Neodiprion lecontei: one gene and its partner. The protein of the gene in region 2 interacts with the protein of the main gene of each other region in a pairwise test. Links are inferred from orthologs where the notes say so. Each region holds a gene or a part of one and is shown on either strand. Other genes may lie near its edges. The genes, in order: nuclear hormone receptor FTZ-F1 beta and phosphoinositide 3-kinase adapter protein 1.

Evidence for each region.
Region 1: the proteins of phosphoinositide 3-kinase adapter protein 1 (region 2) and nuclear hormone receptor FTZ-F1 beta interact in a two-hybrid assay, tested with the Drosophila melanogaster proteins (2 studies listed by BioGRID). The link is inferred for Neodiprion lecontei from reciprocal best matches to the Drosophila melanogaster genes stumps and Hr39.

Annotation. Positions count from the first base shown.
Region 1 is NC_060262.1:31,239,035-31,256,084, reverse strand, and holds the start of nuclear hormone receptor FTZ-F1 beta, read right to left. Parts: upstream 9,159-17,050; 5' UTR 8,972-9,158; intron 4,075-8,971; exon of another isoform or gene 3,402-4,074; intron 1-3,401. Other genes in the region: GTPase-activating Rap/Ran-GAP domain-like protein 3, read right to left, coding at 12,591-12,847, 13,152-13,394, 13,470-13,556, 13,641-13,977, 14,264-14,532.
Region 2 is NC_060260.1:11,736,188-11,753,138, reverse strand, and holds the start of phosphoinositide 3-kinase adapter protein 1, read right to left. Parts: upstream 9,524-16,951; 5' UTR 9,293-9,523; intron 1-9,292.

The DNA of each region.
Region 1 (17,050 bases), on a different chromosome or scaffold from region 2:
TTGCCTGCAGGGAAATTTAGCCGCGCGAAGAAGAAGAGAAGCGGGGAGTGCCAGAAGCAGCGTCGTCGTCTTATACGTACCGTTGTCGGTGCGATGGAGTTGCGCGGGAATGGGAACCTGTTTTTGCGGTTTTTATTTATTGACAAAATAAGTAGATAATCACAGGACCTGCATTCCTGGCAGGCCTTAGGCTTTGATCTCGTCCTGTTACTCGGCTTATACAGCTTACATACGTATATATAAGCCTGCACCACCGTGTCGCATACTCGTCAAGTCCAACTGCACTCGCATACCCGACTTTTCCAAGCTGCACCTCTTTTATTCACTAGGTATAGGTGTAATAATGTACCTATGCACGTAAACTTCACGGGCATCCATACATGCGGATAATTAAATGGACGGTAATATTTTGTTGCTCGTCCAACAATCGGAATCTGGTGTTCGCTCAAGATGTTCGACCTAAGAAATTTCACGGCTAATCCCGGTTTTCGCGGATCCTGATAAAAATTAATACATAAACACGTGTAATATACTTTCTCCGTCTTGATAATCATTACGTAACAAATGAAAGTTAACCGAAAATACGAAAAAAAAGAGAGAAAAAAAAAGAATTCATTTGCTTCTAATAAATTTGATGAATCGCGCGAGATAAATTTTTTTACAAATATCAGGCTGTACACAAAATTCTCTTATATTTCCAGGTGTCGTTTTCGTCGTAGGTATGAAACTGCCAAATGCCATGACATAATCATTCTACGATTTCAGCGAACACCTTAGCTGATATATATATCTTATACTGTATAAATCAGCTTTGGCATTAAAAATTCTTGATCCGTACGCTTACATACATTATACCTATACGAATACGCAATGACAAAAAATCAGATCAAATAACCGATAGATATAGAGTTTATATTTGGCGCAACTGCCATGATCCCGCCTCTCTGGGCTTAATGTAAACGTATAAAAAAGTAAGACGAAAAAAGGTGACGCAATAGCGGTACCTCCTTTGTCTCTCGGGAATAGTATGTATACAATAGTGTGTATACCTACACACATACACACATACATACATTTACAGTACAACGATCGTTCCGTAAAATTTCTGTGAGTTGAAAGGTGTTTCCATGTATATACGTATAATGTATATACCTGTAATGTAACGTAGACGTAAAATACAATAGTATTACATACGGTCTTTAATATGCAGAAACGGTGTTAACGAGTTTGTATAGATTTGTATCGAAACATATGCCACAGCAGCACATGTATTTTAGTAAAACTATGTAATAAGCTGCAGTGTACAAAGGCATAATATACTGTATTGTGAAAGGCAACCACACAAAGTTTATCACAGAGGGTTTAATACGCACGCAAACGTATACCTACTGTATATATCGATACGCGCGTATGCATGCACGCGGGGCAGTCATTCGCGCGAATTGACGGCACACAACAAACAAAGGACATATAATATATCCATGACGGTGGGTAGAGTCGGAGTCAGTCAGTCACGTTATCCTACGCGTCGACCCCCCCCCCCCCCCCCCCCATCGAGGTATCCCTCCGTGCCCTTCCCTTCGCTCGTTATCAATCCATCCCGACCGACGTCGAGCACAACCCGCGCCTCTAAGAGGGGTTCCGTTGCAAAGACCGACGTTTTTCGACGCGGCAGTAGTAAGTCAGTCTCTTCCCAAGCCGGTAAGGTCAAGGCCCTCGTCGCCCTACCCCATGCACCTTAGGGTCACGTGACGCCGCTCAAGGTCTCCTATCCCCACCTCGACGAGCCGCCACTTGAGTCAGACTCCGGAGTCCGGAGACTAGACCGGTCGCCCTACCCTCTTGAACACCCCCTCGAACCCCCGACGGAACCACGGTGACCAATCGCCGTCGAGCTTTCAAGACTATTTATCCCCCCCCCCGTAACGCGGGACGGAAAACTGTTGTCAACGATGCTCGGATGCCCGTTAATTACTTGCAGCGTACCCGTACGTGTGGGTGTCTGTCTGCCTACGATGAAGCAGAGTATGTATGTACATGCACACGGGGATATCGTGCTATCGTTACGCTCAATGTAGAGGCTGAAATATGTCTGATATAGATAGATATTGGCGGTGAAAGATTATTGATTGTTGAAATTTTGTAGGAGTATAATCTTTATAGATTGACAAATCGAAGCTTGTATGGCGGTGAAAGGGAATAAAGCCGGCGGAACGTTTACCGACGAAGACTGTGCACTTCATCCCGAACAGGCATTGAGTATTGTACACGACGCGCATGTGCATTTGTACACCTCTGCAGCACGTGCATCAGCGTATGTACACACGTCCTAGGCAAAACAACGATGCACCGCAGTCATACGCGTGTACGGTTGGCTGGATGTGCCCGTGCGTCCGCATGTACACGGAGAGAGTATAGACGAACGAAAGGTCAATGACCGGAAACGTTCGCGAGCGAACTTGCTCTATTTTAAGGGCGGTTGTCACGCGCATGCGCCACCAGCCAACACGTGCTCTCAGGTCGCGTCGCGGCGAACCACCACGGTTCCGTGAAATTTCTATAGAGTGGAAACTGTCTGATACCTTTATTAGTTTCCGACGACAGGCTTCCCACTTGTATGCACGCGTCGAACCTGCGTCGGTATATTCGAATTCCCTGTCGGCAGATATGCGAAATCTTTGTGTAAAGAGGAAGAAAAAAGAAAAGAAAAAAAAGGAAATGAGAGGAAGAGGGGGAAGGAGAGGCGAGAGAAGAAATATTCAATGAATTCATGGAACTTGCGCCGGTAGTTTTCACGTGAACGCGCGGGGAACGTAATCCTCGTCGAATGTTGGTAATTCTTACGTCAAACGAAGCCTGTAAGGTCGTTTCTAATTTTGGAGTGGACTCCTTCGAATGTAGTATGTATGTATGCTAAATACCTAGCATTATAGGTGTAAAATACTAACGTCCCTCCTCACGTCTTGCGCATACTTGTTATACGAGATATGTCTGTTTTCCTTTCACCGAGTGGTGCCGGGCCTTGCTTGCCGCAACTACTGCATATCTTTATTCCACCATACAATACACATGTACATGTATATTCAAGCGAGAGATAGGTAGGCATATACATATTACAACTAACCGGCGATACCAATTGAAATTATTATTCTCGTAACGCGGATCCGTTCGAACACATCTGGAAAGGAACCGGTTCCTGATTGGATTCGAGATTTCCGTTCCGTTCAAATACATGTGAAGCCCTGCACACCGATATCTCGATAAAGATCGTTCGTTCGAAATTGCCTTAATCTCGGATTTCAAATATTGATAAAATTAGGGTATGCCTATTTTTTATTTGTGTGTACGTACGAGTACATAAATTCTCAATGGCTGCAGTAAACAGGAATAATTTTTATTACCTGTGTACGTAATCTGTAGAAATACGTAAGATATGTCCCGATAAGTGTATAATATATATGTTACATGATCCAGATCACGTAGGAATTATCACTCGTTATATCTCCAGTATATGAACATACATCATGCAATGTCCATTATTACTTTTTTAAAAATACTTTTCGAACGTCGACAAACTCGAGTTCCTACTTGTGCCACACTGTCCACTTGCTTCGCGATGTACGACGTTGTCCTTTGTAATCCTTGCCGTTAGAATGACTGTATTCCGTATATCTTGATACACTATAATTGCACGTTAATTATTTGCATTTTTAGGCCGTACACTTTAGACACAGGTACACTTTTTAAAAACGTGCACGTATACGTATAATGGTATCTCCCAAAACGATAATTATAATGACGACGGTAAAGAAAAAAACAAACAAAAAAAAAACGCGAATTGTCTGTTATCTTTTCCTTTGTTTCCTGCTGTTAATTGCACTACTGTGATTTGAAAGCTTTAATGGTCAACTATCGTATAATACCGTAGCACTTTTATAACTGAATAATATTGTCCGAACTTTTCAACAATTGACGTTGTCCAATAGCAACGATACAATTTTCAAGTTTCATAACTGAGAAACACTTGTAGCTATAACACAATTCAATTGAAACCTTGTTATCTACAGTTGGTATTCATCGGATTCCGTACTCGGTACATTCCGTTTCAAGAGCACGATTACGGATTCGCGAAAGAGCGAAAAAACTTTTGCACCACAGCCTCGGGTTCCTCCCCGCCCCGGGAAAAATAATTATCAAACCGGTCACCTGTATGCCGATAAATAGAGGTGTAAGAGGTTGAGGAAAAGGAAAAAAAAAGAAACGCGGGGCATAGGCGACTTGTAATATCGACGAGAGTCAGAAGCGCGACGATGTCGGACGATAGCCACCACAAGGCGAGGAGGTAGCCGACTGACTTGGTCGAGTCAACTACGCGCCGGGGTGTCGAGCATTCGTCTGCTCCGCGGCCGTAAGTTCGTCACGGAGAATCCACTTGCGGCTGCTGCATGGCCCTAAAGTTCCGTCCTCTTGCACCACGGAGAGGCTACCTGAGGGAGTCGTCGCGAGGTACCACAACCTGTAAAAAGAAGAGGAGGAGGAGGAGAAGGGAGGAGGAAAGAAGGGCGTCCCATAACGCGGCACCACCTCAAACCGCACGTTGCAGCGTTGCACAGCAGAGTCTGCAAACCGAACGGTTGCCCCGGTCACTCCGTGCATGAGACTCATCCTCTACTCTCTCCCCTTCCTGCCCGGGAATGACCGCGATTAATTTCTTTGGTACGGCGAGCCGCTGCAGCAGGGAAGCGCCGAATTTCTCATGATTTCCTCTGTCGTCGTTTTCTCGCGGAGTAAAGCAAAATGCTTTCTCGTGAGTAAGTAAACTCTTAGCGAAGATAACAAAGGTGCAAATGCTTATAAGTGTATGTATGTATGTATACATATATATATATATACGTTGCGAGGACGAATGTAGCGTGCAACATTAAATTTTTGTTTCGCACAAGCCTCGTGTCGTCGTCTTGTTTTTACTTGTGTACCTATATCCGTGTGCGTACCTACATGTATGTATAGATAGTAGATTTTATTAGGTGATTAATGGCGCCGATTCGAGGGATGGTAGGTAGTAGACAGGTTTGTGTGTATAATAAAAATTTCGTATAGGTTGGAAGGGTGCCAAGGAAATGATCACGGTACACACATACACACGCGGCGATCTGCAGTGTAGGTATAAGAACTCGGAGCTCTGAACTCCTGGGGTAGACGCGTAGACTTACGTTGCATGTGTGCGGTGTTTCACGGATACAGTTAGTGACAGATTTATCGAGATCATTCAGTCTTACGCTCACAGCCTCCGCGGCGCGGCGAGGCAGGGTAAGAAATGAGAGAACCAAGAATTAAAAAGCGGCAAAAAAGCAACTTGGGCGCTGCTACGGTGCTTCGCACGCAGCAATTCGCCAATTTAACGATAATGTATTGTACGTTGGCCTTTCAATTTTAACGATACACGCATTAGATTGGTATATATTAGATTCATACGTGCGCACGTAAATATAGGAAAAATCATCGTTACGTACGACGATTGCACAGTGTGAGATTTTTATAGATATGCAGTTTGGGGATTAAATCACGGATTTAGACTTATTCAATTTTGATAGTTAATCGCATCTGTATACTTGCATATGGGCCACATGTTGTATCGATAATATTTAATCTGTGGCCAAGTATGGAAGAAGACGACGGTGAAGCAACCTGTTGGGGAGCGTACCAATTCAGCGTCCGGCCGAGTACTTTCGTCCGGTTGTTTGGATTTTTTGGGCATTTAATCCTGAATATAATAACGTCACAGAAAATATTCCGAAATTACGATTCCGATGCGTATGAGCTATCCATTAACATATAGATGCCTCATCTTGTGAAATGTTCAAAATTTTTATACTACAGCGCGATGTTGTAAAACGCAACTTCTTAATAGCTAAGTAAGGTAGATTGTTTCTCAATATGGAAATCAGGTATGTATAATTTATAAACGGTCGATTTGAATGCTGATAAAATGTTATAAAACACATGCGTAAGAAAAGTAAAGAAGAAAAAACATTACACTAAAATATGATTAATTTCGATTTTGTCTACGAAGGTATGCAAACAAAAAATTGGCAAAACTTGTTTAGGTCTGGACTTTGTAGTGCGTTGCCCATAGTCTCGTAGATAAAAAGATTGAGACACTGTTCTGGCATTGGGCAGACTTTTTATCATTTACGAAAAATAAAAAGTGGACAGATGTACGATTTGATCAGTGCGGGGATTCATTATTTTCAACGCCCGATGCCGGGCGCGACGGAACGTTTGTTTTATTTGCATTATTAAAAATTAAAATATCGCGCAGAACGAAACGATCTCGCAGCTCGCCGCAGACGCGTAAAGCTCGGCTAGATGATGAATAGGTGTGTACCTACAAGTTGGTGACTGACCACGCGCCGCCACGCCGACTGACTATGCATCAGCGTTAAGCGTAAACTGTTGGTAACCGCTGCAGAGAAGGTCGTCGTCGGAGTCGCCGTCATCGTCGTCATCGTCGTCGTCGTTGGCAGCGGGTACCATGGAGAAAATACAGTTACATGCTCGCCAAGAAACGGGCGCCGACCGCCGTGCTCGATCCGCTACATTACGTCGGGTTAGGATATACCGCACGGTAAATACCGAGCCAACTAACGAGTACTAGCCGAGCGAACGAGGGTAGAGAAAAAAGATTCACGAACGCGTTAAAGGGCACTCGAATATTCTCAGGAAAGCGTGGAAAACTATTAACGCGGTGCGGAATCGACGTCGTGACGTCCAACTTGGCGGGTAGGTGTACATCTTTTATTCCAAAAAGTTTTCGCTTCGAGTCGACGAGGTGCAGCAGCGAACTCCGATGCGGAAGGTGAATCTAGTATCGGTTTTGGTCTTCTAAAAAGAAAGCCCGTCGCGCGTGCGGCCAGCGGGGTTACGATCAACTCCATCCCGTAATATGCTTACAACACATAACTGCTGCATACCATCGCGCGGCATAGCGCAGGTAAAACTTGAGCTCCGCGTGTTATAAGAACGCGTTGGAGAGCGAGCGAGCGAGCGAGTGAATGAGCAGCGAGGTGCGGTCCGGGCTGCACTGCGTCGAGAAAGGTTTTTCATCCATATTCATAAGCCTACGGAGGTTTATCCGCATCTCAAGGATCGAGAGAAGAGAGACCGAAAGAGGCACTCCTGCATCGCGGGTCCCTTCCTCCTCGGAGTCGATATATGCGTTTGCCCATTCCTCAACTCCCGAGTGTGTAATATAAAATTTATCGCATACCGTGTAGGAATTTTTTAAATCGTCGGAAAAATCGTTGACGCAATTCTTGGCTCGGGTTGGGTTCTGTTGGGTTGGGTTTGATGCAGAGGAGAAGGAGGTGCGAGCCACCGCGAACACGTTGCTCGCTTTATCGTCTAGGTATACCAGAGATTTAGCCGATCGGGTATTAACTCGTGAATCAGCGTGTTTCAGATAAGCTGTTTCTAATCGAAATGTTTGCCATCCAGCGCGCCGTGACTATAAGTATAATATCGGCCAAATCGAACTATGTCGTGTAAATAGTATTCCGAGTGTATTGGCTTGAATTATGAGCGTTCTCGAAACCCTTGAGGAGAGAAAATGAATCATTTCGCCGGTGAAATACAGATCTATGACTATCGTACGCCGACGTGCGTATAAAACGCTGAATCGGGTGTGGAAAAAGATTACTGATTTTTTGAAAGGTGGTCGGGGGGGTTCGGTTGAGGTATGCGACATTATTCTTTCCTGGTATAGCCGCTGTGACGAAGCCTCGCTCGCTGCGGTCAGTAGTTTTACCGCTGAGGATAAGATAAAAGGCGTAAGGTGATTTGGGGGTCGCGAGGACGAGGCGGCGGGGGAAGAGGAGGGCATAAAGAGGCCGGGGAACGGAGAGAGATAGAGATAGGCGAAGGGGACGGGGACGGCGGAGAGGAAAGGGGAGGCTCAAGGCCGGCCGCGCTGTCAAGTGTCAAGCCAGAAGCCTGCGCGCCGAAATATCAACAAGCCGTCTCATTTCCTCGCATGTTAATACTCGACTTTCGAGCGAAACCTGTCTCCGTCTAACTTTGCCGAGTTGCTCCTATTCGTCGTATTCGCATTCTGTTTATACAAACGTTAAATTGAAGGAGGCCAACGTGTGCGAGGTAAAAGAGAGCGAGAGGGAGAGACAGATAGACAGATATATAGATAGAGAGAGAGAGAGAGAGAGAGAGAGAGAGAGAGAGAGAGAGAGAGAGAGAGAGAGAGAGAGAGAGAGAAAGAGAGAGAAGTAACGTACACGATATCACACGTATGCATAGCTTGGGAGTAAGGAGAAATGTACGCGGTGGTATTAGTAGTATAATTTTATAAACGAGGTGGTATCAACTCTTCGATAGTCGTCGAATCCGTCGGCGCGGTTCGCGTATATAACAAATATGAAATTGCGGTATAGCCAGAAGCAGAAGCAGCAGCAGCAACAGCAGCAGCGGCGGCGGCGGCAACAGCGAGCTACAAAGCAAACGGATTGTTTGCGAAACATGTATGAAAGTGCCAGCAGCAGCCCGGGCAGTTATGAAACGGACCGCAGCGCGGCGGCTCGAGCAAAAACAAAAAAGAATCGGTCAGGTGCGCTCGCGATACCTCGCCAGACGACGACGACTCGATTCCCCTCGTCGTGCGCGGCTGTCGAATGATCCACTCATGATACTCCGAGGACTCGCTACGTTTCTCCGTTCGAAACGTTTAAAATAGGTACATACGTAGATCGTTGACAACCTGGTCGATCGGAAGAATATACCCGAGAGACAAAGTGCCGTGATTCTGGTTCCAGAGGGCAACCCGGAGTGGGGAGATGAGATGCGAAACATAACCTCTGTCCACTCGCTAACCCTATTAATACCGCTCTCTCTGGACATTTGATGTCTCGTCGTTGTTCGAAAACGCGTCGCGAGAAGGAACCTTTGATATCGTTAAACTCACCTCATGCTCCGGATGATGTCTCGCGAAAACCACAGGAATATCCTAGTCCGCGATCGGTTCCGACGACTCTCTTTCGGAGAACGCACACAGCACTTTCACAATACGCTGTCCCTGTACTACAGCAGGTAACAGGCCATCCAGGCTAGGCACACCTTCACGTTACAAGTTACAAGCCTCGCGCACAGGGGAACCTATAGTACCACGGGCAAAGATAGTACAGTGCATTGCCGGCAGGGGGCAGCTCCGACCGGCACTTAACGCCGGCTCCCTTCGCTCCTCGTACGTTCATTCGGAAAACATCGTACTCGTCGCGACTTCAAACACCCCTTCATTCTCACCCCGCGGCCTTTACGCAGCCACCGGGGCTTACTGACCATAGACAACGTCTGCTCCGTTTCGCCAACTACGCGCGACCTATCGATTAGACGGAAATAAAAAACAACGGGGAGCCGAAATGAATAACCGACGATGAACAAAACTGCGGTACGAAAGAACGAGCGCGCGTTGTGCGTAAATGATTCGGAGTTGCAGCCGGCGATGGTTTACAATGAACTATAAATCTCGGACACTTCGTATTTCGTACAAGGTAGTTTTGTATACATAGATTTTCATGAGTTCGACAACCCCCACGAGCCGAAGGGTTGCTTACTTGTCTTCAGAGGTTATTCTCTGGACTCGGCTAAGTTTTCGACGGATAAATTATCCGCGTCATTCGTTCGACGTGGCACTATTTCGAATATTCAATTTGAATTCTGAGTCTGCAAGTTCCACGATGATTCGAAAATTAGATAAATTCAATGGTTTAGTAAATTGCTTGATACGGGAATACTTACGTCATTATCGTACCTAACGATGTAAGATTTATTGTAATTCATTCCGGAAGAAAATTGTACGTATCGTTACTGCTGTTCATCGATGTATTATTGGAATATTTGAATAAACCACACCGATTTTATTTTATTTACGACATTTTTACTCTTCAATTAATATAAATAATCTCGATCCGTTCCATTGATATTAGAATATTACGACAGAGTCAAGCTGAAAGATATAATATACCGTATGCTGTAGAAGTTTAGATCTTCTATGAGAGAAGCAGCGTGGACGGATGATGTTGACTATACTAGTAAAACGTAGACAACAAATACACGACTTGAATTTTAATTAGGATATATTCTTTGTTGCAACTGTATCATTGACGGACGTGAAAATCATTTTAAGCGTCCCCTCTTCGTGGTATCACCATTCTTATACCGTGCTTTTCTCAGCTCGGGGAAATCCAACGCTGCAACGGGGGATTCACGGTTCATGAGAAAAAAGAGTTTAGGTAATACCAATTATTTCAGCCCGAGATTTAACACCATCTGGTGGTGTTCGATAGTCGCGTGTACTACACTCCGATATCCAAATAAACGCCACGCTTCTCAAGTTCGACCGTCGACTACCGAGGAAAGAAATGCCAGAGCCATCTGGCAGATGCTGCTCCGAGCAGTCTTTCTCATCCTCAATATCTGTAGATATTTTTCAATTTCTTCGTTTTACCAAGAGCGATACGCAGCTTTCACAATCTTCTCTTCTACTTGGATCCCGAAGGGTGAAGACTATCGTTTAAACTGTATACTGGTTTTAGAGAAATTTTGTATTTTCTTACAACGCTTAAATACCTTTGTCATATATTATCTTATAATAAATTCAACTCACTCCCGTAACAATGTGTCTGTAATGTATTATAATATGCAGGGGAAAGTAGTGTACCACGTACGTAGAATAAGGCGTTCGTCTTTATACTTTTGAGAAATTAATCTTTCGATATTTATTAAACATTTTTGACAGGGAGAAAATTTCTAAACAGCGTTACCGACGTAAACTCAATTCACACCACTTTCCCTTGACCCTTTAAAATTACTTCTTAAACTTGACATATATATACATATATATTTTTTTCTTCATATAACTCCATTACATTGTTTTATTTTTGCTTTCTGCTTAATTTTACCTCATATTGTACATTTTCAAAGGCTGCGAAAGTATAGCCTGAGAAGATTAGTGCGTACAGTGTAACACGGGAAGTACATATTTCCTAAGAGGTTCCTTAGTCTTTGGCTTCCTTGGATATTTTTTACCAATCCTGATAGATTATAACAATTTGATTCAATCTGCTTCACACCATATCATAGATTGTCGTCAGGGAATTGTTCATCCTGTATGTCTTAATCTATGTATAGTGAAATAAACATAACAGAAATTTGTACATGCGTTTCATTTTTTCAATTCTGAAAATCAATCATAAATAATATATGCCACCTACACGTACATAATAATACGCACAGAGTAGTGTGACATTTGATATTTTATCTCGAATCCGATGTGATCACAGGAATCAGCACACGGCCAACACAAGTCACTAGTATACATAATTATTAAAGAAACTCATTTTATTGCTGTAACAACATAACGGATCTCGCAGCAAACATTTTTCTTCCAATGTGAAACTTACAGGTAATGCTGCATTTCAATGTGACAATTACAATTTACGACGAACATTCATTTTTAGTTTTATTTATCACTATCAATCAACTACCCTATCACTCAGTCATGCTAGTTAAAAATTAAATACCGGGCCGGTAAATAAAAAATTCACCACTACTCTAACGCGCCTGAAATGTACGTGTACAAATATTTGTGCTTATATCATGTGTGTGCTTTATGCATTTTTTATAGTAAAAATCATAGTAGAGACAGTAGATGCAGGTAACGTCACGGACTAGATAACAGTAGTACGCTAAACTATATTTATACATCTATAACATTATATGAGGTTACTTAAGACGTACGCGCATTCTGAAATAAAATATGGTACATTTTCAAATATTTGTGAATAATATAATTTTTTCGATCGAATCTACGTCCGTACGCGTATGGGCAACACAATGAATGATCCGCCTCATTCCTTGTATTCTACATATTATTTAGGGAATGGCGTTCGCGTATCACATGAATATTAATCGAGACTAATGGATGTGCGTGGAGTTTGCACAGGTTAAAATAATATACAGTTTTTGCCATTATCGAGATAAATATTGTTGTTAATATTATTATTATCGTTTTAATAATAATTATTATTATTTGTATTATTATCTGTGTAACTGTAATTGGTTATTATATATTCTTATTGTTAACATACGTTTTTCAAGTTTTAAAATAGCTGTATCGCCGTATCACAGAAGAGAAGACGTTTAATAAAGACGTGTACAATCACGTGTCTCATAATATAATAATAATACTATAAAGATTAAAGGTACGTACGAAATTTGCATGCAGATATTCAACACACAAATGAAATTCTGTCATATAATTATTTTTCAGCACTATGTATAAATTTATATATTATGTTTTATTTATACCGTATATTTTTATATATTATATATTTATATATCATCATGCTTGAAGCTAATGCCCCAATGTGGGCTCAGTGGAATTGAGGCATTGGCGATTCAATCGTTCGTAAAAATCCTAATTTCTGTTGTGTTTTTTGTTTGTTTCTTTTTTTTTCTTGGTTTTCTGTCAATTAAAGAAAAATTAATTTCAATCCAATTCTTCAACGTTTTGTATAACAATGTTACTTGTTTATTCCCATGCCCGGTAAGCAGGGCACGTGACCGGGCGTCGGACTGCTGCTGCACGATCTGCTCAAAGCTCTGCTAGAGTCGACCGTAAGAAAGTTGGCATCCCCAGAGGGTGGTGCGGGTACTAAATCCGGCTCCGCAGGACTCGGGCATCGCCTCTCGCAGGTGGCAACCGTTGTTCCCGAGAGGGTGCTCAGAGGAATCTTGTAGATCCTCATCGGCTTGGCTTCGGGTGAGGCTGAAAGAGGGGCTGTAAAAAGATCGGGTTGGCTGCGGAGTCAAAAACGAATAGCTGTAGAATTAAACCGTCGGATGAGCAACGACGAATTGACATTTTAGTTAATACGCCGGTAAAAGAAATGAGCTCAATTTATCGGTCGGCAAATCGATAACGTTTCAGAGGCATGCATCTCGTTACTTATAAAAGAAGAACCGAAGCAAAAAATAGGATGCGAAAGGTCCTCAGCGCGGTTTCAAGCCCGCGAAGCGACCCCGCGGTAATTAAAATAATTGCGAACACCTGCTCCCGCCCTCTCATTGTTCCCGTAACCTACCGGAATGGGGTGATGCTGGGGGGCTGTTGTTCTTGTCGTCTTTATCCGTCTTTCCATCAAAGTGGATCCTCTCGGTGCGGGTGGAGAAGAATTCCGGGGCCGTGGTCGCGAAGAATATGTCATTCTTCGAGGATATTAAATTCAAGTTCGGCATCACCATTGTGTGTACAAGATTTCCATTTATAATCAATCTGATCTCCATCGTGTCCGATGTGAAAGCGATTACGTATGGAAATGCACATACTGTGGATAATAATGAAATCACAATCAGTATTAACGGAATTCACCGATGACATTGTTTGAAATTTCCACACGTACCAACCGCCGTCGGTACGGAATTCCAATGAAAATCGAACGCCGTCGAAGCCATGCTTTCGTCCATGAGCTTTTGGAAATGGCACGTATCTGAAAATTGAACAATTATACCGAGAAATACCTGCAGTAACGTGTCTCGCGAACCAACTCGCTTCGATTTGCGATAATACTGACTATTGTAGCACAGAAGCAGTTCCGGCTCCTCGTCTTCTCGAAGGTCCAGAGCAGCGACGAGATGGGGCTTGTTGCTCGTTTCCACGGATAGTATTCTCGATGCACCCTCCGCCGAGATGAGCTCGAAATTATGTCGCAGAGCGCAGCAGAGTGCCCAATCACCGCATCCCGTCGCCCCCTCAACGATGGTCACGAAGCTCGGCACTTCGCTAGCCGTCAATTCCTTGACGAAGACGAAACCGTCGACGGTGTCGGTGTCGGATGCTGGGCACCAAGCGGTCCAAGCAGCGCTGTGTTTCCACTGCATAACGACCAGTCGACGCCCTATGGCAGCGCACTGCGGAAAATCGGAAGTAGATGAAAATTAAGGTCGTCGACAGGATCGAGCGGTTTCGATCAGCTTGAGCCTCGAAAATTATTCTCAAACTGCTTCTGCTCAGCCGAGGGACTGATTTACGACATTTTTCAAAGCTTGATAAAGGTGATAGAGCGGATCTCCCGCGCATCCGTTTTAAGCACCGAACTCAAGCTTTCGCGAGATGAGTTGCTTATCTCAAGGTAGAGGAAATTGAGAGTAAGATTACACGGGGGCTGAACAGGGTCTCGAGTTGCTACGGACTCACCATTCGCAGATGCGAGCCACCCGGTCGAGTAAGGGAGTATATGTGGCAGCCTCTGGTGCGCTCCAGTTTTCTCTCCTTGGAGTGTGATCTCGTCTTGGGCAATGTGTCTCCTCCAGCCTCCGCATCGAACTCGCTCAGACGAAACACGTGGATTTTGCTGTCTCTCCCGCGGTCGCCGGCTCTGATTAGCAGGATCCCGTGTTGTTCCACCACGTCTAATTGTTTTATCTGGACGGACTTGTCGAATATAAGTCTGTGCGAAAGACCGTCTGAAAGCAGATTATAGCACTGCTTCAATTCCGACCTCGGCGCTTCACACGCAAATTTACGCTTGAGTAAATTTGAGCCTTCATTCGGTGGGCATGGATTTAAACTGATGATGATTATAGCGAATTACACTTTGCTGCGCCCACTTGGTATTGATTAGGGTCTTGCAAAGCGAGCGGATATTGCTTCGTCGGAATCAGCGAAAAGAATAAATCCATGACCCTTATTAGCGTGACCTTCGGGAATTTAATCGAATTCCGAAAATCGTCGAAGGATAGCATTTCCAAAAAATATCAATGCGCGTAATAGTAATAGTTTAAATGCAGAATGATAATAAAAACATCGTAAGTTATTACAACCGAGCTTCACCTCGTTGTCAATTTCTTCGACGATAGATTCATAACTCGGATCGATCATAAGACTTTGGCAAAGCCATTCATTCGAGTAAATCAGGACACCGCGGGCTATGAACAGTAAGTATTGACCGTCACCCCATCTGAGGCTCTGTTCTTGTTCTCATGACCGAAGCTTCCGCTAAACTTGTACCAAGTTACATAGATTGCGAAACTACTCTACAGACATGCATGATTGGAAGTTAACTCAGTCCCTGAAGTAATTCCGCGTATAAAATAAATATTAATAATGAAAGATCCGTGTAAGACTGATCTGCATAAAGTAATTGCGACACAATCTCGCCTGATACTGATTGACGGAAATCTGTTGTTTTGTTTTCAGAGAAGTGTAACAACGCGTGACTAACGCTGCTTCCCAAGATTTTTAATGAAGAAAACTTTTCAGTGAACCATGGAAGTCGTACACGATCACTTTCATAATGAAATCAGATCAAGTAGAAAATTGTTGGTCCAAGTTACGAAAACTTTTTTACGAAGCTCCAGACCGAGCTTATCAGATTCCCAAAGATCTTCTTACCGGATTGTGATATTCAGGATTTTCTTCATTACGATCAGGGTAAGGAATAAAATTCAAATTTCCGTAGGTAACCGAGGATCACATAATTGACTGGATGACTTTTCAGCAAAACTCGAGACCGCTGTGAACTTGAAAAATAATGAGAATAAAGAATTTCTCTATCATCGTCAAGGTTAGAACTTCGATTACGCAGGCGCTGTCGCCAAGTGCGTATGCCGTAGGCTGTTTCCCAGGGTTTGCTCATTACATGGTTCATTTCGATGAACGATTCAGTTACACGGGGTTATGAACTATGAAACTTCATTTACAACTAGCTTTGAAACCTTCGCTCGCTAAAGCTCGCTCGGGGTCGGATGCCTAGCGTAACTGGTTCTTGTGCTCGTGCACTCGCTCACTTGTTGTCAGTGTTTTACCAGATGACATAGTTGTAGGGGAGACTGGGGCACGATGACTCCCCAAAAAATTCTGGTATTTGCTTCACAGTATACAGAATGAACACTGTCTTTGTGCATGTGACGCAAACCGAATCTGCCCGTAAGATTTTTTTTATATAATGCTACAAATCACGTTTACGTATGGATGTAAGTATAACGCATTGTGATTTTATGACAGTAAATTTCGTCAAAAAATACCACGGAACAATCAGCTAAGTGCTGACAGATTTAAAACACTACGCACAGCAATTTTAGCTCTAAATGAACGACGTTATTGTCGTGTATTCCTATGTATACTATGCCAACTACTCACCAATCGCAATTTCTTGATCTCGGTCGTTCGGTTTTTTTCGGATTTAAAATGTGATCTGAAGCATGTGTATTGGTTTGACAGTACAAAACATGACGTTTTCAATAATCAAACTTGTAAACTTGAAAATTAGTCCTGAAAGTCACCACGTCAAGGACCTGGACAGCCAAAACCACGGAGCGCTTGTCCTGGAGGTCGAGATCCACCAGGTTAAGGATCTGGACAGCCGAAACCACGGAGCGCTTGTCCTGGGGGTCGAGATCCACCAGGTGGAGGACCTCGATAGCCAAATCTACGGGAAATTAGTCCTGAAGGTCGAAAGTCACCAGTTCAAGGATTTGGAAGGCCAGAATTACGGAGCGCTTGTCCTGGAAGTCGAGTTTCACCAGGTAGCGGACCTGGAGCGTAAAAACTACGGAGCGCTTGTCCTGGAACTCGAGTTGCCCCAGGAAGCGGCTTGAAGCGCAGGATCCAGGAGGTAGAGAACCCGTTATTCGAAATCTGCGGAGCGCGATTCTCAACCGTCCGCTCTACTGCGCGGTTCGTTCCAGACTGAGAAATTCGGCTAACTGACTTTCGTCGTGACGATCACTATAGATCGATGACGTCAAGAGAAAAAAAAATTTGGGTGACGTCACTTTCTGAACATCCGAACATCCGAACATTCAAACTTAGGTTTCGAAGTTTAATACTATTTACAATTTACAATGAGAACAAGGTAAGCTACCACGCGTGATTATAAGTCAGTGGAGCTGCTAGTGGTGAGCGCTCGTGTATTTTCTTAACGAGAACTTAGTAGCAAGTCGTTAATTGTCCTGATTAATTATTATTAAACATGCCATATGG
Region 2 (16,951 bases):
ATCAGGCCGTACCGCTGACTCACGTAGATGAGGTGGGTACCTAATTTGACTGCAATATTGAATGCGTAGTGATTTTCAATCGAATCTGTGCCTAACGAACTGGGAGAAGATTCTGATCAAACATATTATAAAATATAGTTGCCTGAGGGGACAATCGAGATTTATAGTTAAGATTGCTTGTAAAATCATGGCGTGTATGACTGAAAATTTATCGGCGTGATTGATGATATTTGTATATAGATTTGACACAACAATGCAGAAATTCCACCGTAAGATGTAGTAATCTAAACCAGAGAGAAACTTTAGTCGGAGCAATATCTGCACGATAAGTGCCATAAAAAACGATTTTCTATCAGCTATGCGTAATTTTATTTATTCTGTGATATGCAAGACGCATTTTTGTTCCTATCAATTTACTATTGACCGCAAATCGATGAAAAACACATTCTTGGTTTATGAAAAATCGCTGTGCTCGCAGGGATTTTAATGCCAGACGTTTTCTTTAATAATCACATCGCCAACCTAACTGTTTAAAAATTTACGGCTCCTTTATCTAATCTGTTCAACGATATAATTTAATTACCATTAAATATTATTGTCGATACGAGCTACTGCAGGGTGACTTGAACGTTACCAGGATAATTGAAAATGATCACAATTTAAATGAGAAATGAAATGAAAATATTTCAGCAGTCACATAAAATTAACCGACACCAAAAACGATTAGTAACAAAGTATATCGTGTCGTTGATTAATGTGAGATAGTCAATATTAACATATTTGTGAATGGTGACTGTGGAGGAGTTGCTCCAACCGCAAACCTTACAGATCATCATTAAAGCGGTGTGTTTTCAACGGTACCGAATAGTCGAGTTGAAGATCTATAAATAGACAACATTTAGCTTATTTGTAAAATTCTTTGCACAATCATTACTGTACCCTTGACCGCTGCATGTTGATTAACAGAGTTTGGTTAAATTAACGTTGATTTATAATTCACCAACCAAAAATTACAACGAAGTTCGTCATGCAATTGGTTGACTGAACAATAAATTTCGAACCCTACGAATTTTCAACTATTCGCAAAAATATTTCTCTTAAAATTAGTAAACCAACACGGGCATGTGCGATGGTAAAAGTTTCTATCAAGAGAAAAGGAAATTCGACGCTGTATCGAGTTGCGCAGTGAAACAAGATGGAACAACATTGTATCCCCAATGCAGACACGTGTTGGACACGGCTCCGAAAGGTGCCTAATAATAAGACAAAAATTGTACATGTCTTGCTTAATAATAAGTGGTATATTATTGCCGATCGAGCCGCACGTACAGGCGTTGTATACGAATAAACACGTAGCCACGATGAAGTCTACACGTACTATATATCTTCGCGATGTATGTGCACCATGCATAAGTGCCAGCGGATGGCGATCAGCGACAACTCGGAAGTCCTGATATGGCCTTCTTCCGCAGTGCGTCTCGCATTCGTGATTCTAACTTATTTTTACGTCTTGTCGTTTGTTGTGTATAGCCGTGACTACAGGGTGTCCATTTTTATGTGTGCTTGACACAGAAAGGACAAATTTTTTAAGTACGTGCAGGAATATCTAAAAATTTAAGGCTCGGGGAGCAAATCGGAAGGGTACACGTGGAGGAAAAATTCTACCACAGGTGTTATTGAGAAAATTAACGTTGATTATCTAATACCTAGTAGTTTATATCCGCGTGAATCGTACATTTTTTTAACGCATTTTCAATAGCTTCTCGTTGATCATCATCGGCCAAGATTTCCAGTAAAATAAGCCTTAGAATTTCTGAGGAGTTGGATGAACGACGAGTGAAAAACGGCTACATAATTTCATTGTACAATCTCTAAATTATAAGGTGAAACGTGAAGCGCGATCGATTGACAATTCATAATTAATTTCTACGGCCAAGGTTTCGAATTTGAGCAGAAACTTGTAAGGCGAAATTTAATGCGGTCCAATTCTGGTGTACTGGAAATTATAGAAACATGAAAACCGATCGAATGGCGCATACAATTCAGTTATAACGGGGGTTGTATGAAAATAATTATTCGATAATGAGTTGTTGAGAGTTTGAGAAATTCCTCCTTCAAAGTTAATCAGGTGTGTTTCTCGATTGACATTTCGGTACGTACTGTAACAAATGAAATTTTTCTCAGTATGTAACAAAGTATATCCTAAAACCTGTTCAGACGTTGTTGCTATCCACAGAAGAAAAAAAAAGGAATCTAAATTGGTTCGGTAGTTTTGGAGTTACAAGCGAGGATACGGACAGGCAGAAAGAAAGACGTTGAGTTTTATTTATGCAGAGAAGAGATGTGGCACCGTAGGTATGTTAATGTATCTGCACACAGAATTATCGCTTCGGTCAAGCAAGGTTCTCACGTTTTCCAATGCCGCGAAGAGAGTTATTCGCGACGCGTGTTCAACCGTGTATAACCATGTCCTTCTCTTGCCCGTGATAAAAACCTACATCAAAGTGCATTGACGTTGATAATCTCGAATCGCAATTGAACTTTTCGTTCGTCTTCTGCGGGGTTCTGCGATCTCGAATCTTATCGTGGCACGCTTAGCTCTCCTGCTGGGCGGGGACACAATTTATAGATCATTGCTGAGCTAAACATTTCATTCACCACTAGAAATAGTTCCACGACTTTGAATCGGACTCGCACCGAACAGAACGTCGTCCTCTGGTCACTGAAAGTCGCTCTGCCAATCCCAGTATCCAACTTTACGTATGGTATACGTGTAGACAAGTCGTGCTTCCATAAGTGTGGGAAAAAATCATGCACCGTTGATATGTACGTTGGGGTAGTCGATGAAAGGGTTGTTTTTGAATTTTCATTTTCCCAGAGGATTAAACACTTTCAAGTTAGTTTTAAAATAAATCCTTGAAATTTTTGGCTTTCTTTCAACTCTAACAATAAGATAGCAGGCTTTCTGATCGAAGTATCTTATGGAAATAAAATGGGACAAGCTTCTGTTGCTTTTTGAAATTTTATAAGTCGTTAACGAATATACCCACAATAATGGAAAATACAAATTGTTGCAGAGAATTGTGACTGAGTCACAGTACCAATCAAGACTTTGTAAATTTTTTTAGCATTGCATCGATCAATACTAGTAAAAAGTAATTTTTCGATTTTCATTTATTATATAATGAGGTTTTACAATAATGTAATTACATGAATTTATCTTAAATTTTATAGCCTACAAGTAATGTGGGATATATTTTATTACACGATTGTTCATTTTGTAGCTATACTTGACGGAATGATAATTTTTTATAAAAATAAACTTTAAATGTTAATTAATACATGAACGCTTTCATTTACGAATTTTATGCATCAGAGCTTTCAATTCTCTACAAAAATATGTATTTTTCATTATTTTCGGTATATTCGTTAACGACTTATAAAATTTCAAAGAGAACAAAAGTTTTTCTCACGTTGTTCTCATAAAATACTTCGATCAAAAAGTGGATTATCTAAGAGTTGATATAGAGAGCTCGAATCTTCAGGGAATTCTTTTTTATCAATTTGAAAACGTTTAAAAAATTCAAAAACAACCCTATTAAGGACCACCCTAATGTATACATAATACATCACTTTCGAAAGTTTTATTGCCTTTTGATTGATTTTGAAATTTGCAATCCCCTTCAAGAATAATGAACATGTATACAGAAACAGATTCAACATAAAAAAACGAAAAAAATGTACCCACTAAAAGCAAGAGTTTTGAACAGCTTCAGAATTTTAAATCAGAACTGCACAAGGACTCAACTGCTTAAAAAATTCTAATGTTTTATTGTAACTTTTTCTGTGAACAAATTCTAAAATTGATTCACAGACTGATACGAGTTGTTCATTCGGTAGTTCATACTTATTTCCTGACTCGATGATTCAGTCATTCCGTCAATATCTCTTAATATCATTAATTTCCGAAACACACTAAGAAAACGTTAACGCGAATATAAAGGTTCAGATTTTTCGAGACCGATTTTATTTCATAGAACAACAAGAACGGACAAAATTCACATGGAAAAGAAAAAATGCCTATTTTCTATTGCAAAATGACCAAATTTTCATAGGAATTTCAATTGATCGTTTATTCGGGTATTTGTCCCTTTAGAAGTAGATTAAACTTTTGTCAAAAATGCAACGAACAACGCATAATAGATTTCATTTTTTCCGAGTACGTGATATTTACAGTGAAAATAACCGCTTGTGTCAGACCATGTAAAAATAGCGGCTCTTCGTTGTTCCATAAAATTTATGCTAGGAACAAGACGGGCTGACTAACAGATGTGAAGAATTGTACCGTATTCAAAAACAGCCGCAAAATACAGCTATAAGTAACGTTTAATAGATATTTTGTTTAATTCATGTTTGTACAGCTGCAGCAAGTCCAGAATGCCTCAGGGTCGGATTATTACCGTGCTCCGCGTGTTTATACCTGTACACCAGGCTAATAGCATTTTATAATTGCAGCACGAGTTTGCGAAAGGGTATTGAAAAGACTTTTCCCGAAGGTATCGGCACGTGCCTCAGAATACGTTAGGACGGTTATTTAGCTCTTGGGGCAGAACACTCGACTTCGAATAAAAATTGTTGTTCAAAGTTACTTTCGACTTGTTTAGAACTTTCCATCCCTCATATTTTATTGTATTCCTAATTGCTCTAAAAGAACTCGGTATCGTAAAATCGTCATGAAGGTGTCCTGTTCGAATCCGTTGTATTAAATTTTATTTTACTTTATGCTATTCCATTTGCACTTTTTAATCATTTCGGATTTGTCGACCGAGGTGAGCATTGTTGTGGATTTTTCATTTCACTGAAAAATATTGTTAGCGTGAATTATCGGTGCAAGTTTTTTGGATAGATGAAATATTATTGAAAGTTCTCGAGTATATGCCACGATAATTGAATGCAAGAATACGTGACATTATTTATTGTAATATAGGGATGATAACAGATGACTCTAATAACGTTTCGATGGTATACTGTAATATTCTCGAACAATGTATACAAATCGAAATTCTCAAATCAAAAACCTTTCTACTTCTGAATGAATTTTAGCATACTGAACGTAGAATTTTGTAGAATACGATAAATTTTCGGTACAACTTGCAAGATTTCAAATCATCAAAATCCGTTGATCCACTCTCGAAATATCATCGTTTCTTGAAATTTCAAGATCTACCAAGTACTCAATTTTTAATTTTCAGGGTGATTATAATAATATCTTTTATTCTTTTTTTTTCGTCGAAAAAAAGGAGGGAAAATTAAAAAGAAGGCTTCGGTATTTAGAGATAAGAGAGAATTTATTTATCATGATTGAACAAAATTATCTGCTTTGATCTGATCCTGTAATGATGTTTGAATTTCTCATAAAGCTTATTCGAATGTTGTATTTAATCGAAATATGAGGCTAGTCGTCTTTAAAAAACTTTAGTCAATGGCTGTGTATGGCATTTGAAAGATTCAAAAAGAAACGGAAACGATTGAAAGCTGGTCAGATATTATTAAATCATGTTGCAAAAACTATGTACCTAAGTATGTTACGATTTGGTTTTAAAAACCAAATTTTCTACAATTCAACGTTCACCCATATAAATGAGTATCGCTAGTTTAATAATTTGAAAACAATGGTTTCAGTATAAAATATCAATGAAAAGTAACTTTTCGTCGTTTACGATTGATGATAACGTTTATTGCGGTTGAGATAGATAGCTGAAATATCAGAAGAACTGTGTGAATATCAATTCACCTTGATTTCGGTACGACAAATAAAGACCGTCCCGCTACACATATTGGGACGGATTGTTTATAATTTTTACACTTTCCTCGCACCTGCCTCATATTTCCGGTCAAATACGTGCCCTTACAAACGCGTGCCAAGGAACACGTGTAAATCTTCTCGTTAATATTTATAGTTCATACTTGTTCCGCAGTTGGTTGCCCCTACGATTCCACGTACCTAATTCGTCTTACTCCGAAATCTCGAATTTGAAAAGTTCGGAAAGTGCCGAATTCAAATGACCGAGCTTCTGACCTGATTACTTTTAACCCTAATAGGTCACTAGGGGTGAATTGCATTCGAAACATTTTTCAAGACGTTTTTTAGACATTTTTGGCACTCTCCTTAACTTTGCCGATGTTTTACAATATTTAAATAATCAAGTTTGGTCAGAAAAACTGAGAGAGCTTTTTCTGCGATCCTTGAACAATACCTAGATATTTTTTTCGGATATTTAGAAACTCATTTTTAAAGCAAAACATCACGTTTGAGATAAATTTCACGCAGTGTAACCGTTATGCGATTCTTCTAAGGTGTGACCTACTAATGTCAATGTGGCCGTTTTATTTTGTCAACAAGTATCCGTGTGAAGAAAAAATTCTAATTTTTTTTCAAATTTTAAATCTCACTCTTTCGAAAGATAAGAATTTTTGAAAAATTTTACCCGTTGAACCCTTGAGTGCATTCAACTCATGAAAAACATAGCATTCAATTTTTTAAATGGATATTCTACGATCGAGTAGAATTGATCAAATTGAAAATGATCGGGCAAAACGTTCGATGATTTTGCATGGAATGCCCCATGTATGAGATGTCGATCAAGATCAGAAATTAAAATTTCAGATTACTCTGGAATTTTTTTTACTACAATACTGACTACAAAATACAACCCGATTTATGTTTTTATTTAACCAATCGTCCCAATCTGAGACATGATTCAATTTACTGTTTCCGGGGCACCCATTTTTTGTAACACAATTTTTTGGCACTTGTCGAAAATAGAATTTTCATTACGGAAAAAAATGCGTTGTTTCGGAAGGTAATGGAAATAAAAAAAAAAACAAATTATGATTGCGACAAATTTGTCATACGAAAAAGAGGAAAAGATTTTTAGTAATATGGGTAAAAAGAAACCACATTTACCTAGGGATTTACAAAATAACGAATACATTGCGAAATCAAAATTTTATCCCTTATAAATATTTATAATCATTATTTGAAATTAAATTCGACCGTCCACAAGAATTCCAAAATTTGGTTGTATTTTTATTTTTTTTAATGTGCTCTGGACGTTTGCAGATTTCAGAAAAGTAGTTTTTCGGAACAAATTAATTAAATCATATCTGAAGACTAGATGAGATTTGTTATATAAAAAAAAAAAAAACAGAAATTAACGGGGCTGTGTTTTACGAATAGTATTTTCAAACGAAAGATTCCGGGGCAAATCTAAGATCTCAACTTCCGAACTTGATCGAAAACTCGTGGAATGCCCCATATATGATTTGCAGATAAGTTAGATGCAGTGTGTACCTCACGAGCAGTTGAAGCGGTTACAATCCAATTCAGCTAATAATAGTAGATTTTTATTGAAATAGAACGCGTCTGCTGATTTCAGGCCAGCATCTGTTTTTGTTTGATATTTGAGTTCACGAAAAAACATTTTCACGCAGATGTCGATTCTCGGCAGAAAATGTCGTTCACTTGAGCATCTACTCGCCATATTAAAAAAATCTTTTTTTATCACGAATAAAATACCTAAAGAAAAATACATCGAATTTATTCACATTCACAAATGGCGGCCGGTAATTATTATGACGCAAATCATTGGCGCTATTATACATCGCAGAAATCATTAATATTTCCGTGTGCAGGCATTTCAGAGATCTTACATCCTTGGTGTAATTTTTAACAATACTAAATGAATAATAAAATTCTTTGATAGGGTCAAGGAAATTCTTGGTAGTCCGGTTCCATGGATTTATATATCAATTTTGCATTTTTATGCCGTAAATACCCGCAATGTGTCGATTAAGACTTCACATGAAATTTGGGGGGATCAGAAAATTATCACTTCTTCGTAGTTTCGCTGAAAATTAATAAATTAGAATTATCTAGAGGGCGAGTTGTTGATTATCGATGAGTCGTGAAAACAACCAATCTAACGATATTGGTTCAAAATCTATTTCTTAATTTCGTTTGGCCCTGACTTGACATAAGAAAGATTTATGTCAATTAAATAAAAGTGACATACGTGAATTTTGTAGAAAAAACGAGATAAAGGGACACGTACAACAAAAGAGGTAGATATTCTTGAACAAGAAATTGAACGGTTTCGTATAGAATCACGGCCTAATACTAACAAAAAATGTTTGTATTAATGCGTTATAAAAATAGGTCAATTTTGAGAAAATAAAATGTGTATCGGACACTATAAATACGTATGTGAAAAATTCTTATAATAAAAATTTAACAAAAGCGCGAAAAGAAATGTTCACCAAAATTATCATACAGACGTTTCATTCGTACAAAATATATAAATGAATACTGTGATGAATATACATGAAAATTTTATCATCCAGGGGCTATTTTAAATTTCAGCATACCTGACTTAATGTGCATCGAACTTAAAGTTACAGGAAAAAGGAGTACATATTATAAGAAAAAATGAAACTTTCGTATCTAGGTTTGCAACAACGGAAATTTTCAGCTGCAGCCGACAAATCTATGCACCGACTTAATTACGATTTATTTAACCACCCGCAACGCTAGTTTCGTCGTTCCTTTCGAAATCCTGGAAAGTCTGGGTAAATCACACGTGCATAAATGGGGTGAAGGGGAAGGGGCAGGGGAGGGGAAAAACGGGAGGGGTAATAGAGAGCAGCGCACGTCTGGTTTGGTTCGCCTGTCAGTTTTAGTCTATTAATATACTTGGTGGGCTGGAACACCTAATGGAACGAATATTCGTTGTACCCACCCACAGGTTCTTCAAAGCGGTCGGAAAAATGTATTATTTCACTTGTTACAAGCTTTAAAGCACACTGTATTCCACAAGCTGTACGAAAGAATACTTCGTCCAATATTGAACGTACTATCGGGGTTGGGATATATTCGAATGTTAATGAATTTAGAGCAACTTTCAGCGCCAATCGAATTCTTCTTAAAATACACGGTCGTCCAAACTGCTTCTAGTACCGAATCGGAAATATAATTTGACACATCGTTTGACAGAATATCAAGCTTTTCTCGTACGCGAGAATATAGAGGTTTTTCCAACGAGGGACAACACCTTTTGCAAATCTTGTCTATAATCGTAAACACCAGAAGCAGTGTCGACGACTGACGAATTGAAATGGTGGTAAATTGAGTAGCACCAATTTTTCCTCCATCGTTTATCATCGGTTATACAATTTGAGCAGCAGGTAATTACCCTGCCGTCATAACAGAAGTTAACAGTACAATGAAGCTCACCAAACAATCTCCGTTCAGGCATGTGTTCCAGATTTTCAAACCCTGAAGTTGTCAAGATGAGAAGAACATCGCTAGAGAACACCGAGCACCAGTCAATGGGAACGATCGGACACAGTTTCTCTCTCACTCTCTCTTATTTTCAACCTCGTGATATTCTTCCGAAGTACGAAGGGAATTGTTACCGCAAACGGAGACGAAATCGTGTTGAGAAAAAAGGTTCGATACCCAGAGTTCAATTTGCAGAGTAAAGGAGACGAAAAAAAAATCAAAAAAAACAAAAAAAACAAACAAACAAACAAACAAACAAATAAATAAATAAATAAGCAAACACGCACGCGCACTGGCGGTTGTCGCGAATCGACGATCCTTTGGTTAACGCTGGTCTTCGTACACGCGAATGATACCCAGAATGTGAGGAGTCCTCGCGTTCGGTTCGCGACCGCGCAACGCGACGTACTGACAGAGCTTTTGCTTCGCCATGCGACGCGGCCACGTGACCGCGTTCAAGTCTGGTTAGGGCGCTCCTCGGAACACCCGCGCATCTGGCATCTAAAAGAAACCGTTCCCTTCTTCGGTTTGCCTTGCCTTGCCTGCGTTTCTTTGCCGCGCGCCTCTCCGGCTGCGATTTAACATACGTGCAGCTGTAAACGCACGGATTTTGCTCCAGCTGCGGATGGATATACGCGGTGACGAGGCCACTTCGTAATTCCCTCTCGAAAACTTCTTCGTTATCGTTAGACTTGTCTGACTAAGGTTTTGTGGTCTTGACTTCTCGAAACGCGAATTCTTGGGATGTCTGGACTCGCTCGAGAGGAAAAAAAGTTACGAGGAATCGAGAAATTGTAGTCTTGATTGTGTGCGACTTTGATCTAAGGATTGTTTTTATGACGATACTTCAAGTATCTAGTATTTATTTAATCAAAAGATGGTTCGATTAGTATTTTTACTTAACTCAGGAAGGAAGCTAAGATATGTAGTCGGATGATCTACTTTTTAATAAAAAGACGAATTTAAAGTTTAATAAGAAGGTACACACAGTATAACTTGGATAATTTTGATAGGAAAATGTCTAAGTAATTAAAATTTTAATTTAAAAAAGGTTGAATAAATAATAAACGTTCATGGTTATTAATAAGCGTAATTTTACTTTGCATTTAACTAACAATTTTATGATTTTTTAAAGGCTTTAGACATTTCTCGAAAATTCGAGATTTCTCGAGTGCCGAGAGAGAAATAAGTCAAGGAATCAGAAGCCCTGCGTCTGACAAGCGTTAATTAATGCAACCAGATTGACAGCTAATCATTGACCTTGTTATCTCGCGTGTGGATGGTATGACAGGTATGTTATCGATTACGTTTCATTAATTTGCATGATATGAGTAATTTGAAACCCCAAAAACTATAATTTGCATCCATTAAAACTAAAAACTTTGATTATGTGCTATTTTGTAATGGCGCCGACAATCAGACTCCGACGTCATGGGGTCATTTTCTAATAAAGAACGTGCTTTTTGCAATCCATGAAATCTTGAGTGTGTTTCCTGCTCAAATTTCCCCAAGTTTCAGACTCCAGCATCAAGTAGACAGTATTTCGGGATCGATCATGAAAGAACTTAAAAAGAATGATTTCGAAATATGAATCCCTCAGATGTGTCATTGGAACTACCAATTTCGTTCTGTAATACATGCGTACGCGCAAAAGTAATTTTTGAATATTCGAATCAAGAGGTAAAACTGCGCGTCAAAAATAATTCTTTTAGTACTAATATTGGAAGTGCAAATGACGCTAGATAATTTTTGGTTTAATGATGAAGATGAATGATTGTTCTTTACTATAATTTTGATAAGGGTGTTGAAAATTTAGCGCAGTATGCACATGGCTGCTATTAAAAAAACTTATGCATTCTTTGCGTGGAACGAACATGTAATAATAAATATGAGATCCCGTTAAGAAATCTACAAAATTTTACCTGCGCGGTAGAACATACATATTGTATACACTTCTGAAAGTGCTTAATTATTTCATCAGATAGAAATACGAATATACTCACGGAAAAATTATTTTCGATTAGCTTGAATCGCAATAGATATGTTTTCAAACACGTGCTTAAAAAGTTCAATTTTCAAATCCCGTGGAACGTGTGTAAGGTGTCTCATTTCCGATCAATCTGGTTGAGCAACGTTTGCGCATGCGCGCAGCTGAAGTACTCAATTTTACACACGAGGGCTTTCTTTAGCGCGCGTTCGAATAAATCAATTTCACGCACTGTCATCAATTGTAAGCTTAAGTTACGTAAACCCAATTTTATGCGGTATCAATGGCTCGTTTGTTGCTTCTCAAATCAAATTTCCTTTTACAGGTATCGCAAGAAATAAAGTATGTCGCACATGCAGATGGGCGATAACTGCTTCATGCTGCAAGCTTCACACTCGTCGGAAGCCCGCCACTTTGCGCCCTTGTAACACAATATACTGCCATTCGAATATAAACCTATGAAATAATCTACTTGGCGTAAGCGAGGAAATCTTATTTATTTCCATGGAAATTTTTGCGGACACCACGAATTTTTGTTTCGAACAAGCGGATTCTCTGATAGGTTTGAATCCGACAGAACTTGACAGAAATTGTCAGCGGAAGCTGAAGCTTTAAGAGTCTGTAGTTAGCGGCGGAACGCGCTAAATCTCTTTCAAATAGAATAATGTTACAGTTACAGTTCATTGCTCATGATTGTAATAGGGTCTTGAATACTGATGAGATTTTACAAAGTTTTCAATTTTCGTACTTCATCAGTCTTTTCTAATGAACAATAATACATGTATCCACTAACTTCCACGTCATGATTGTGAGCATGAATCTCGTACTCGAGTGTTTTGCGAGAAATCAGTTATACGATCAGATACCATTACTTCCGTAAGAAAGTAACTAAGAACTAACAGAATGGTGCAGAAAATTGAGCCAGCAGCGAGTCGATTCCACTGCAACGAGAGATTTCAAACCATTTTATGTACGTTCATAAGTTAAACCACGTCTTAGAATCAACAGTCATCACGAAGTCGTTTGGCCCTTGTTTTTATCCGAAATCAGTTGTGCCCCCCTGTTCTTGCCGGTTAATTAAAAAGATTGACATTTTTTTTATTGATTCCTTGAATTTGGCATTAATCAGTACTATGACGTGAATATATTTTTTTTCAATTTCTAAACAATTTAATCATGATAAGCTTATTATTATCGGGATGAAAACATAAGGTATTTCTGGAAAAAATAAAATTTCAAAAAGATAGATCCATGCGCACAATCAACAGCTCAAAAAGCCTAATCGAATAAATTAAGCTATAACTTATAATCAAATAATATCAACGGATGAAACAATTCGTCGGAAGAATGCTTATCGTATTGGATACGTAAATCGCAGTGAACCTGGCGGATTTGTTTTTCCTGGTTAAGCTAACAATAAACGAGACTCCCTCTACCATCAAATATAACACTGTAATTCGAATTATAGCAAACGAAAACATACAATCATCAGGAGGAATAAAAATACAGCAAGCCAAAAGATAGAACGGTCATGAATTCCGAGCACGCGATATGAAGTGCCGCATTCTCTAATGACATTGATATTTTTTCTCCGTGCTTACTTTCCTTTTATCGCATCGAAACAACATACTTTAGTCACTTCTGAATGTCGAAAATATTCACTGGAACAAGTAGTTTGAAAATCGGCTCGACAGTTTTTCAGTTGCTTTTGCGCATGCGCACAATCAAACCATTTCATATGATATGGTTAATACGATCCCGGTATTCATATGATGCAAGTGGTCCCGTGTTACGTCGATGAAACTTAAGTTGCATACTTTCAGGCGTAATCTTATTGTTAATTGTTTCTGTTATTAGTCAGCTCCAACTCGATACATCGAGATAAAATAAAGGCCCCGTTGGAGTCTTTCTACTACAAAATAATTCTTTGTGAAGAGAAATATTGGGTAGGTAAGTCATAAGAACACAGTAATTTATTACCGACATTTCGGCCCTCGGTATGGACACTTTTCAGGGACTTTTATTCTATTGGAACAGAAGGCAAGAAATATTTTTCTGTCAAGTTCAAGTGCACGAGCTTGTGTCAGAAATCGGTATCACGTATGATGTAACTAACCACGTATGTACAAGTCAGGTCACGTAGATCAAGGTATCTTAGCGTTGATTAAAAATTATGTCAGTTATTGCAGATTACACGCGGACCTTCCTCAAAGCGCATTTAATTACTGTGACAAAGAAAGAAATCATTGAAATTATTTCAAGTTATTACACGTGTTAGATAGCCGTGTCATAAATAATTAACCTATATTTACAACCAGGTCGCACGTAGACCGGGAACAGCCAGCGTCGAAGTCAGTCATCAAGTTACAAACAAGCACGTAGCTACCGTGCAAAGAAATGAAAAACGTAGCTTATTACATACTCCCGAACAATACCGCTCAGGCGAAACTAAGATTGGGTGAACAATTATAACTAATCGTAATTCAAAATACACGAGAGCTCAATCGAGGGACACTCACCTTAAATTTATTAAAACGAATTTATGTTAAAAACTCATTAAAGCAAGAGGCCATCGTGGTTGTCGGAGAGCCCGGCATATTATGCGCCTTTTGGTCATCGCCTCTCCCACTTCTCCATGCGAAGGAATATCTAACTTTTTTTTAAAAACAATCAAGAATTAACGTGGATATTTCTAAAGGTTGCAAGGTAAAGGAGGCGAAAGAGGTAAAAAGAAGACCCCAAAATATGTAGTTGACGAAGGTTAACCACTTACTAGTTTCAACTATCCGTTAACTTAGACCGCCTCCACTTTGCGACTGTTAAAAGTACCCGCGTTAACTCTTGATTGTTTTTAAAAAGAAGTTAGATAGATATTCCTACGCATGGAGAAGTGGGAGAGGCGATGATCAAAAGGCGATACCGATTTCTGACATAAGCTCGTACACTTGAACTTGATAGAAAAATATTTCTTACCTTTTGTTCCAATGGAATAAAAGTCCCCGAGGAGGGTCCATACCAAGGGCCGAAATGTCGGTAATAAATTACTGTGTTTTTATGACCTATTTATCCAAGATCTGTCTTTACAATCACTTCATCATTAAAACAATTGGTTGATTACGACGAACATAAAAATAACAAGCGAAATTCCACAGTATCTAAATTGTTAATTGGTAAGCGAAAATTTGATTCGTTATTCCGTTCGTAAGTAGAATGAAAACCTGCGATTATAGTAATTTACTCATGTATAACATCGCCTTATGCAATAATAAAGTTTTACATGCATCGATGGAATAGTTGTTTTCAATTGCTGAATATTGTGTTCCGTAAAAATAGCCATTGCATTCATGAAAGAAACAGAAAAATACCGAACATTTTGTCAGACTCATTTCATAGAATATACTAAATGATTATTCCTACTAAAAAGTAAGCTAATTTCTACTAGATACATACATTGTCTCGAGGCAATTTGTTGTCAGCGACGCAGACTCTTTCATCAAATACTCACCCAAATGCAAATACTAATTATTAACATTTTTAACTTAGTCAGAATTTACGATCGTCATTTAAGTTTTTACTACTCACCAAATTTCAGAGAACTGAGATCAATACGAAATACAAAGCAGCTGTTTCGACAAACGGGCATCTGTCAGGCAGCCGCAATAGGCAACGTGTTTTCCTCGTATAAGGTTTGACATTTGGGAAACACGTGTTTTCTCCTCTCACTCCTCTTGCTCTTTCCATTCCATTCGCCCCTTTCTTGCTCCTTTGCGTTGCCGTTGTCCCTCATCGAGTTGGATTAAAAGCTGCGACGAAAGCAAGAAATGGTAATAAAAAACGCAGCGAAATATGTATGAATACCTCCTGCTATTCCCCGAATAGCAAAGGTCATCAAAGCCACGCTGTAAAGGACAATACGAAGTTGCCTGTCGACAGAAACCATGAAAATTCTTTTCCTTATATTTTCAATCAATGGTATTCCATTCGGCAAAGGGCTGACGGTTGATTTAATGCACTAAAAAAAAATGAGGGGAATAAAAAATTCTACATACTCAGTATGTATCGTTTTAATTAAGATATAAAAATATTTCTGGAAAATGGATTCGTACACAAAAATGTTACCTACAAAAGTTACCTAAAAAGTTACAAATTGAACAAACTAATATATGGGGCTCTCCACGCCAACTTTGCAAACGGTTGACCGTGACATTTTTTCATTTCATCAACGACTTTTCCTATATTGGTACGACCCTTGAAATCCTTCCAGAAATTGGAAAAAAAATCAATCACTTGTCTTTACCCTTTGAATTTTTAAACGCATCTCAAAAGTACCCGAGTTGATTTTTTTGAAACAAGGTAAACATATTCCGTTTTCGAAATAACATATTTTCACGCAAGATTCAGAGTGGAAGGACATTTATTTCTATTTTTGAACCGTTTTTGAAAAAATTCGTCAGATGAAATTCATTGAAAGATCGAATTTTGTTTTGAAACAATTGTACTGTGCCGTAAAAAAATTCGTTCATTTAATGAACATTTCCCTTAAACTCAAAATACAATTCTCATGATCCCAAATATTTCCTTCTAAATTCGCTGCTATAATTGGAAATGTTCTGACTTTCATTTACAAGCACTAATACGACGATCAATCAATTTTTGCTATAATAACTTCTAATAATATTTGAATTTTAACAATGAGGCGAAATCTATATTAACAATCTTTTATCAAACTATGATTAGTGGAGTGACCATTTTAATTTATTTATAAATATGACTACACATGAGCTGTCATTAATTTTAAAATTCATTCATTCATTCATCATTCATTCATTCCCGGTGTATTTAGTTAAAACGGTGTATATTGTTAAAATCAGTGTATATGGTTAAAACAGTGTATTTTGTTAAAATGGGTGGATATCGTTGAAATTATGATGTATTGTCAATAACGGTTTTTCGTCGAGGCACTATATTTGTTTATTGCACTTTTAATGTTCTCGTTCTATCGTCTCTCTTTTTAAATTTGCTTGGCTTTTCGAGTGTTTTAATTGTTAATTTAACAGGTATGTCCCCGTAGTTTAAATTTCCGTTATTATTTTTAAATGGTCGATTTTCGATCAGTTACTATTTCAGTTCAGAGAGGAACACCTCCGCACCTCCTTCCTCCTGGAGAGACGTAGACCACCTTCTACTTTCAAATTTGTGACCAGGTTCCCCACTCCCTGGGTCTAACCTAATCCACTCGTGCCGTGTTCATCGCGCATTTATATTTGAATCATTACAAACTTTGTAAGAATATCGAGGCATGCATGGGTAGGAGAATATTTGCTGACCGTGGCTCATCGACTTAACACGATCATAGACAGTGGTCGGGTTCTGGTTATAGAAGGAGGCTGCATCGTGGTACGTAGTTTTTTGAGCCAATTTTTCAATTTCTTAAAGTTGATTTGTACTCCAACAATTTAATAAATTAGATTAAAAATTTCTACATGATTTTTCACAGTTCACGGAATTTTTCACCACCCGCATTTGCTCTTGCGTAATCCAGACAATCATATTTCAAGAATATTCAAACAGACGGGTAATTAGGGAAATGTATCGGGGTACGTGACGCAATTCGGGAAAACTCG